2 linked regions of the Tribolium castaneum genome follow. The protein of the gene in region 2 interacts with the protein of the main gene of each other region in a pairwise test. Links are inferred from orthologs where the notes say so. Each region holds a gene or a part of one and is shown on either strand. Other genes may lie near its edges. The genes, in order: P32 and scramb1.

Region 1 (4,601 bases), on a different chromosome or scaffold from region 2:
CGTTTCTGAGATAAAACCTTAATCTGTTTGCGAGTTTTCCGTATAATTGGACACAAAAATCGCAAAAGGTAAAAAATGATATTATTTTTACCAATTTTAACCGTTTTATTAGTACGTTTTTCGACTAGAAATATACAATTATTTTTCAAAACGTAAGAAAAAACATCGGAAATCAATAAACTAGCCTGAAAATAACGTATTCTTTCTAAATTTCATTAAACTTGTAGCGTTTTTGGGAGTTTTAACAGTTTTTATAAACAAGAAACGCATTTATCTTGCAAAGTTAGTTACAAAGAAGTCGAAGGATTACCGAACAAAGCCAAAATTAGATCAAAATGACATAATTTTTACCATTTTAGCACGTTTCTCGACCAGAAATATTCAAAACAAAAGAAAAAAGTTGTGAAATCACTAAGTCAGCCTAAAAATAACGAAATTTCAATAGACTAAATAAAAAATAGACTGGTGATCACTGTAGCGTTTTTGGGAGTTTTAAAACACAGTTATCTCTCAAAATTTGGTCACAATGAAGCCGAAAAATTACCAAACAAAGCCAAAATTAGATCAAAATGACATTTTTTTACAAATTTTAACCATTTTAGCACGTTTTCAAACAAAAAATATACAATAATTTTTCAAAACGTTATAAGAAAAAGCTGGGAAATCACTAAATTAGTCTGAAAATAGCGTACTTTTGAGAAATTTCGCTAAACTGAATAAAAAAATAGACTGGTGATCATTGTGGTTTTTTAGAAGTTTTAAAAAGCAGTTATCTCAAAATTTGGTTACAAAAAAGCCGAAGAATTACCAAACAAACCCAAAATTAGGTCACAATGACATTATTTTTAGCAATTTTAACCATATTAGCACGTTTTTCGACCATAAATAACAATTATTTTTAAGAAAAAATATGAGAAATCAGTAAATTAGCCTGAAAATAGCTGAATAAACTGAATAAAAAATAGACTTGTGATCACTGTAGCGTTTTTGGGAGTTTTAAAACACAGTTATCTCTCAAAATTTGGTCACAATGAAGCCGAAAAATTACCAAACAAAGCCAAAATTAGATCAAAATGACATTATTTTTACAAATTTTAACCATTTTAGCACGTTTTCAAACAAGAAATATACAATAATTTTTCAAAACGTTATAAGAAAAAGCTGGGAAATCACTAAATTAGTCTGAAAATAGCGTACTTTTTGAGAAATTTCGCTAAACTGAATAAACAAATAGACCGGTGATCATTGTAGTTTTTTGGTTTTTGGAAGTTTTAAAAAGCAGTTATCTCAAAATTTGGTTACAAAAAAGAATTACCAAACAAAGCATCAGGTCAAAATGGCATTATTTTTAGCAATTTTAACCATATTGGCACGTTTTTCGACCATAAATAACAATTATTTTTAAGAAAAAAGATGAGAAATCAGTAAACTAGCCTGAAAATAGCGTGTTTTTTTCCGCAATTTCGCTAAACTGAATAAAAAATAGACGATCATTGTATTGTTTTTGGGAGTTTTAACAGGTTTTCTAGATTACAAACGCAGTTGTTTTGCAAAATTTAGTTACAAGAAGCCGAAGAATTGCAAAACAACGCCAAAAAGCAGTTTTTTTTTCGAATTACAATCCTCCAAAACTAGTTGAAAAAAACACCAAATCATACTGACCATGATATTCTATTTGAGATTGATTTCCTCGATTTCATTCTTAATTGAGCCAAAGACGCATTTATTTTGCACATTCTTGTCTAATTATTGCCTTTTTTTGAGCGTTTCAAAACGTTTTTTCGTCAAAAACTTAATTATTTCGAAGAAAATCGTCAAAAATTAACCAAAAAAGGATGTATTAGAGCTAAAATCCTAAAATCTTTCAGTAAGGTTAAAACATCCCAATTTTTTGCGTTTTCGGGGGATTTAGGACATTTTGTTGCGAAAAATAAGCCGAAAATTTGCTAAATCAGGTTGAACTTTTTTCAGCTAAGGGCTTAGTTTATTCCAAGATTTCGCATATCTTCACAAAAATGCTATCATATATGATTTTTTAGTGTTCGAAGCGTTTTTTAATCCTCTAAAACCGAATAAAATTATCACCAAATGGCGTTTCATTCGATTAGATTTTGAGCCGAAAGTTGTGCAAAATCTTGTGAATTAAAAACAGAAGTGTCTTACTAGAATCTTCCTCTTGCTCATCACTTTCTAAAAATGAGCACAAAACACTGAAAGTGGTCGACCCTCGCACAATTTCAATTCGAAATTCAGGCTTTGACTTTAATTCTCCAAATTCTGGATTGTCCATCGTCGAATCCACTTTAGGTAGTTCATCAGAGTCTACTGTGTGGTTCACATTGAAAGTAATTTTTATCCTAGAAGTTGCCACTTCATAACAAGAAATGAGACGCATTTGACTCACGTTTCATTTTCAACTTTTTTGTTCAAAGTGACTTCAGACCCGTTCAACCCCACTTTAAAACCCTCAAGCTCGGCTGGAAGCGTCACCGACTTCTGGGCCTTCCTCTCCAGGACAATCTCCTCAGTGAGAAACTCAACCAGTTCACGTTCGGCTACAAGTTTGTTATTCCTCCAACTTATTGGGCTCACTTACGTACCTTTACTGTGTGCATGCTGGTGCCTGCTCATGCACCCACAAGTGCACAACTTGCTCAGTTTGTTTTCGGACTCATTGCGATTGCACATGTACCAAAGATTGCGCGCAAGTTGCCGCTGCTGGAAAGTGTTGGACACTTTTTTAACCGGACTCAGGAGCGTCTTGAAGCTGAGTCTGGACGCAACTCGAAGCAAATTATTCATTTTTATACTTAGTTTAGGCGAAATGCGTGAAAAAACCGGCCACAACACGTGCTATCAAAAAAACTGTCAGAAAAAAGCGACGCGCAACCCAACGCTACGAAAATCCCCAGAATGGCACCAACCCACAAACGATAATCACTAAATCGTCACCAAATTCCTCATAGGGTTGCCACACCTGTCCGGTTTTCACCCAGATGATTGTCCGGTGTCCAGATAAAATGTTAAACCGGACAATAATTGGCCAGTTTTCTTATAGTAATTAAAATTTTGTGGTCTAAAATTAAAATTAATGAAAAATTTAGAAAACTCTTCGATAGAACGATTTTTAATATTTAAAAAAAATCCTGGATTGAATTGGAAAAATGTAGAGTAATCAACTTCTAAAAATTGAAATTACATTTTGCAAACGGGTTACCGTATATAATTTTGCAAAAAAAACAGCTATAGAAGGGTACTTACAGTTGCGTCATATGTTATATTTCTTCTAAAACTATTGGCATTTTTTTTTAAGTTTTGTAATTAACTAACACATTCTGAGTTATTTGCCAAAAAGTTCGTAAAACTTTGCTAGAGTGAGTTTAAATTTTTTTTCTTAATTTTTGTGAAGGTAAGTGCCTTGATTATTAAAATTTTGAGCAAAAAATTTCAAAATTTTAAATGAAATAAAAAATGGACAATAGACTTTTGGTTTTTGATAAATATTTTTTTAATGTAAAACTTTATATGCCTCTGTACCTGGAACCGTTGACCGAAGCGGCTCCGGGTTTTGGCAAGAAAATAGATAATTTTAGGCGCTATCTGATGCTTTTTTGATTTTAGTTCTAAGTCTCAGTGTTTCCGAAAAAAAACACAAAAAAAAAGATTGCAATTTTTACATTTTTTAAATTTTTAAACACCGATTACAGCGCATAAAAACGCCAATGTTTACCAAAATAAAATAAAAAAAATAAAAGAAAAATCGTTTAAGACTCTAAATAACCGAAAAAACATTTCCCGCCATTTATTTCATTTAAATTTTTTTCAGTAGCGCCACTTAAAATCTGTCAAAATTGTTGTTAGTTGTCAAAAAACTAACCCTACTTTCTGTGTCGGATGCACGTGTTGGTTATTTTCTAAGCGATGTCTGAGTTTGGTAAGTTATTGTTTATTATTATCTTTAACGAGGCTTTATTTCGTTCTTTGATAAATAATTAGTGGTAGAAATGTATTTAGAGTTTCAAAAATAATGATTTTTTTCAAAAAACCGGCCGCTTTGTCTTATCGTTATTTAGAACGCAATTTTGTGCAGAGGCGGATACGCCCGTTAGGGAGAAGAAAAAGAAGAAAAGCAAGGGCGACAAAGACTTGGGGAACCTTCAAAAAGGCTCCGAATTTGCAGTGGAGCCCTCCTCAGTGATTGCAAAGTTGGACAGTTCCAAGTGGCCCTTGTTGTTAAAGGTGGGTTTTAAATTCGGTTTTTCGTTACATCAAAGCGTGATTTGCAGTATTTTGACCGTTTGAATGTGAGAACGAACCATTACGTACCTTTGCCGTTTGGTTCTTCCCCTTTACGAAGGGAAATTTCCGATTATGTTAAGTCAGGTTACATTAACCTGGACAAGCCCAGTAATCCAAGCAGTCACGAAGTTGTAGCTTGGATTAAAAGGATTTTGAAAGTGGAAAAAACAGGTCATTCGGGTACTTTAGATCCGAAAGTTACAGGTATTAAACTATTTAATTTAATTGAAATCATGTATATTTAATAATTGATTTAAGGTTGTTTAATTGTGTGCATTGAACGCGCTACCAGACTGGTTAAA
Region 2 (4,312 bases):
GGTAGGTGTACTTGCCTTTGTTCACTTTCTGAGAGAAATTTATGGTAACCCTTGCTTTTTGGGGACCGTTTAATCCGAAATAGTTTGCCAAATTTACGAACCAAAATTCGAGGAATTGACTTAAATTTGAATTGTGTTCTTAGTTCAGACATGGTTAGAACTGACCCATTATTTTCCCTATCAATTCTGAAGACAAACAAACACTTTTTATCAAGCACAGATCATTCACTTCATATTTATTTCCATGACTTATTAATAGTTAATAGGAACATAATCGTGATTATTCAGAAAAGAGTCACACACAACGTATTTCAGTGTAATAATTGTTTTCTTCTTTCAAATAGTTATCTTATCATTTTAATCGCTAAACAATACAGGCTGATTCTTTTAGGGCCTACGTTAGAAACTTTTAGCTTCGAATTTTTGTAAACAATTTAAATCAACCATTCTAAGTTCAACTAAATTACATTCAAATTTAATTATGAGTTATGACTTAAATAATTGATTAATTCATTTTAATTGTAAGAAATCGTAGAAAAAACCTTATCGCGCACCTAAAAAAATCGCGATTTGTAATTAAATAAAAATTCATCACATTTTACATGCTTGAATGGACATTCGAAAGGTATCTTCCCTAATCTTTTAGTAATTTTTCACTTACACAGACAAGAATTATAAGAACAGAAAAGAATACAAAAAAAATTAAAAGTTCCTAAATAATAGCGACTACGCAAATAGTAAAAAAAGACAAAATAAAAAAAATTATACTGAAAAAAAAATTGGCAAAACCTTAACAAAGCTTCCGACTGAAAATAAAGCCAAAGATAATTGTGAAGAAATTATAGGAAAAAAAGTTAAAGAGAAAATAGCTGAACTAGTAATTCTTTTTAAGCTGACGAATTAATTGAAAAAATTTCGAAGATAATTTCAATTCTAAAACTGAAATTACTTTAGTAAGGAAATTATTAATTACTGAAGATAAACCTAGAAGAAAATTAAGAGAAATAAGAGTGGAAGAAAACAAACATAAATCAAAATTAAAAAAAGAATGTAAAAAATAAGACAATATGGAGGGGATTGACGAAAAATGTTTTACTGCAAAAAAATATACCAAAGAACACAAAATAAGAAATGCGAATACTCACAAAAAAAAATGCAAAAATGTGAGTATAGAAAAAATCGCATAACTTGAAACAACAGAGGAAAGTCTAATAACTGAAGAATTTAAAAATCGAAAAGTCAAGTCTTACAGAAAAAATATACTCAGCAGACTCACCTTGCATACTAAAAACCAAACGGCGTACTTCGTAAAAATTTCAAAAAATTAGCAGTCAACTTTTTTGACCCATGATCGCACGAAATGACTTAAATAAAATAAAACAGTTTTTATCAAACTTCGCAAAACATGAAATATTTGTAAATTATGTATTCTGTGCGATTATTTGAATTGATTTGATCATTTGAATTTATAAAATTAGGCGGTTTTTATTCTTTGTAATTGATAAAACTAGTGCATACTGGAGGAAAAATGTATTCTAATTAAATATTACATTCGAAACTTTAATACTTAACTCTTCAACAAAATAAATTATCACACCCAGCGTTTTCATCCAAGTTAAAAACCTAATAAAACCTGCTACAATTATTATTATAAATTCAAATAATCATATGGTATTTAGTTGAAGTAGATCCTATTTGTTACAAAAAATTGTACTACAACTTGCTTTAAAAGATCTAAAGACGGTCTAAAGACAAGCCCTAAAAATTTTTGAACTATATATTGTAGATTTATAACAAGAAGATAAGAAAATAAAGTAACACAATTCTAATTAATGTAAGAAGAATATTTGATTAAACTTTTCTTCAGGACAGCAAAGTAATCGAATACAAATCGATCAACATAGAAAAATATTGTCAAAATACATTTATTTAGTGAAATTTACTTTCTTAAACAATTGGACTTCGCTCTTCGACGGCGACAAAAAAATTCTTTTGACATGTTTTTTTACCAAATAAATGATTACATAATTATATATACACACTTTTATCTCAAAAAATGTACAATAAAAATGCACATACTATCGCAAAGTGGTTATTGCAATAATGATGGGACTTGGACCACTTGTAAAAAAATTTAGTAGATAACAGATGAGAGATATGTTGAGATAATTACATAGATAATAAATTTATTTGGAAAAAATATATAGCGAACTGACTTCAAAAACATATAAATTTTACAAAAATGTAATAAAAAAAATTGAATATACCTGGTGCACCTCCAGGACCTGGCCCCATCGGTTGATTGATCACTGGTGGAGGCCCATAGTGTCCTGGGGGCGGGTATTGCCCTGGGGGTGGGTACTGCCCTGGGGGGTACCCCTGAGGCGGCGGTCCGTACCCCGGAGGGGGGCCATAGCCGGGCGGCGGCGGCGTTCCATAGCCCTGACCCGGGGGCATCGGTGGATACTGACCTAAAGTGTTTGTAGTATCACCACTTAACCCCCAAAAACTTACCATTGTAGGGTGTAGGGTAAGGCCCAGGGTGCTGTCCACCAGGTGGAGGGTACGACATCTCTAAAAACTATCAAAAAAATGTTATCTATTTTTATCTTTCGACTTTTCAAATTATACAGAGTGTTACGTCATTGAATTATTTCGGAAAATTAGCACACTGGATTATACGTACTTTTTTGTTTACTGAAAAGCTGTCAAAATTATGAGTCACTCTGTTAGCCTCGGGGTCATGCTGAGTTATTTGTTTTTGGGGCTAATTAAGACAGTCGGATAGTTAAACACACTAATTGGTACGTAATACTTAAAATTGTTTACTGATGGGTGCAAATAGGACGCAAGAATTTCTGAAATTTGTGGTCGGAAATTGCCCCCAGATGGCGCTGTAAACCCGGGAAGTATGAGTATTTTGGGATGTTTTATTTTTATTGCGTTAATTGAGACGACAATAATTGCAAACTTGTAGTCTTTTTGATTGATAATTTGGTTTTATGGCGTTGTAAAGTTTTATGTTGTTTGTAGTAAAATGTGAGCTGGGGCTTTGGTTGACTTTATGACGGTATTTACACCAAACAGTCTAATGCGAGGTTGTCTGGTAACGCCTAACCAATAGGCCCATAGCGCGCGCACTACGTCACCCAGAATGCTTGTTTAAATCGGAATATTAAGTGCAATAAGTATATTGTTTTTATTTAAACGCTTTATTTTTATGATCGAAATTGCCACCAGACAAACGTTTAGTTATTATTTTATTTTAAATTTTAGAACTACATAATTTGTTCTATGTGTATTTTTTTGCATTTTGTTGACCCGTTTGCTGTCGACAAACAGCATTTAAATAAATTATGTTTTACTGTGCCACATCACACAAAAATCCACGTTTGAATTTACCACTAGATCTAAGGCTTTAATATTTTTTTAACTCGAAAAACACTACAAATATCATAACTGATCAAGTTGAACAGTCAAATAGTAAAATTTCAAAGGGTAATATGTAATTACAAAACAAATTTCTCTCAGTTTGCACTAGTTTATCAATCGCAGACAAAAAAAACTTATTCTAATTATAAATTTAATTATTACATGGTACTCGATGTATGTAACTTTAAAAAAAAATGTCTTACAATAAATGTTAATTAATTAAAAATATTGGAATATTAGTTGATCAAAATTTTCTGATTTCTAGTGTTTTCTTCCAAAACAAACAATATTTAAATGCTTAAATTTTGGAACTAGTGACTTTTTTACGATTTTTTGTGTAAAATATAAAAATTAAGGAGAGAAGAAATATTTTTTGTAGCATTTTTACAATTTATCTTGTAACTAATTAATTACAGTATAAGCTCAATTATATAAACTAAATAAAACCATAAGGTAAGGTGTAGGCGCAATTAATACAAAAAACAGTAAGTAGTAAATAATGAATTACACAATAAAGAATTAGTATTAATTAGTAGATTTTTAGTTTTTAGTTTAACTTTTTTTAAGAAATTACGAAGGGTAGATCTATGATTGTTCTCAGAATTAAAAGGAGGTGATTAAGACTGGAATTGTTTTATTTTTTTTACTCCAAATTAATATTTTGTCGTACGCTAAAATAGTTTCAGTTTCAGTGTCTTGGTTTTATCATTTGAATTAATGTAATTTTCCTCATATGTACTTTCTCTTTCGTTTCTTTTATTTTTGTGTTTATTTAATATTTCAGACTTCACGGTTATCATTTTTTCACATAAGCTTACTAATTTTGTTGCATAATGTTATTCGCAATCCTTATATTTCTTCTTTAAAACACTCAGCGGAA

The links.
Region 1: the proteins of scramb1 (region 2) and P32 interact in a two-hybrid assay, tested with the Caenorhabditis elegans proteins (2 studies listed by BioGRID). The link is inferred for Tribolium castaneum from reciprocal best matches to the Caenorhabditis elegans genes scrm-1 and cri-3.

Annotation. Positions count from the first base shown.
Region 1 is NC_087394.1:7,764,712-7,769,312, forward strand, and holds the start of P32 (complement component 1 Q subcomponent-binding protein, mitochondrial), read right to left. Parts: upstream 2,899-4,601; 5' UTR 2,803-2,898; coding exon 2,601-2,802; intron 2,556-2,600; coding exon 2,405-2,555; intron 2,358-2,404; coding exon 2,164-2,357; intron 1-2,163. Other genes in the region: Nop60B (H/ACA ribonucleoprotein complex subunit 4), read left to right, coding at 3,922-3,934, 4,091-4,239, 4,287-4,503, 4,558-4,601.
Region 2 is NC_087403.1:8,610,325-8,614,636, forward strand, and holds the start of scramb1 (phospholipid scramblase 2), read right to left. Parts: upstream 2,913-4,312; 5' UTR 2,632-2,912; intron 2,582-2,631; 5' UTR 2,573-2,581; coding exon 2,515-2,572; intron 2,472-2,514; coding exon 2,268-2,471; intron 313-2,267; exon of another isoform or gene 16-312; intron 1-15.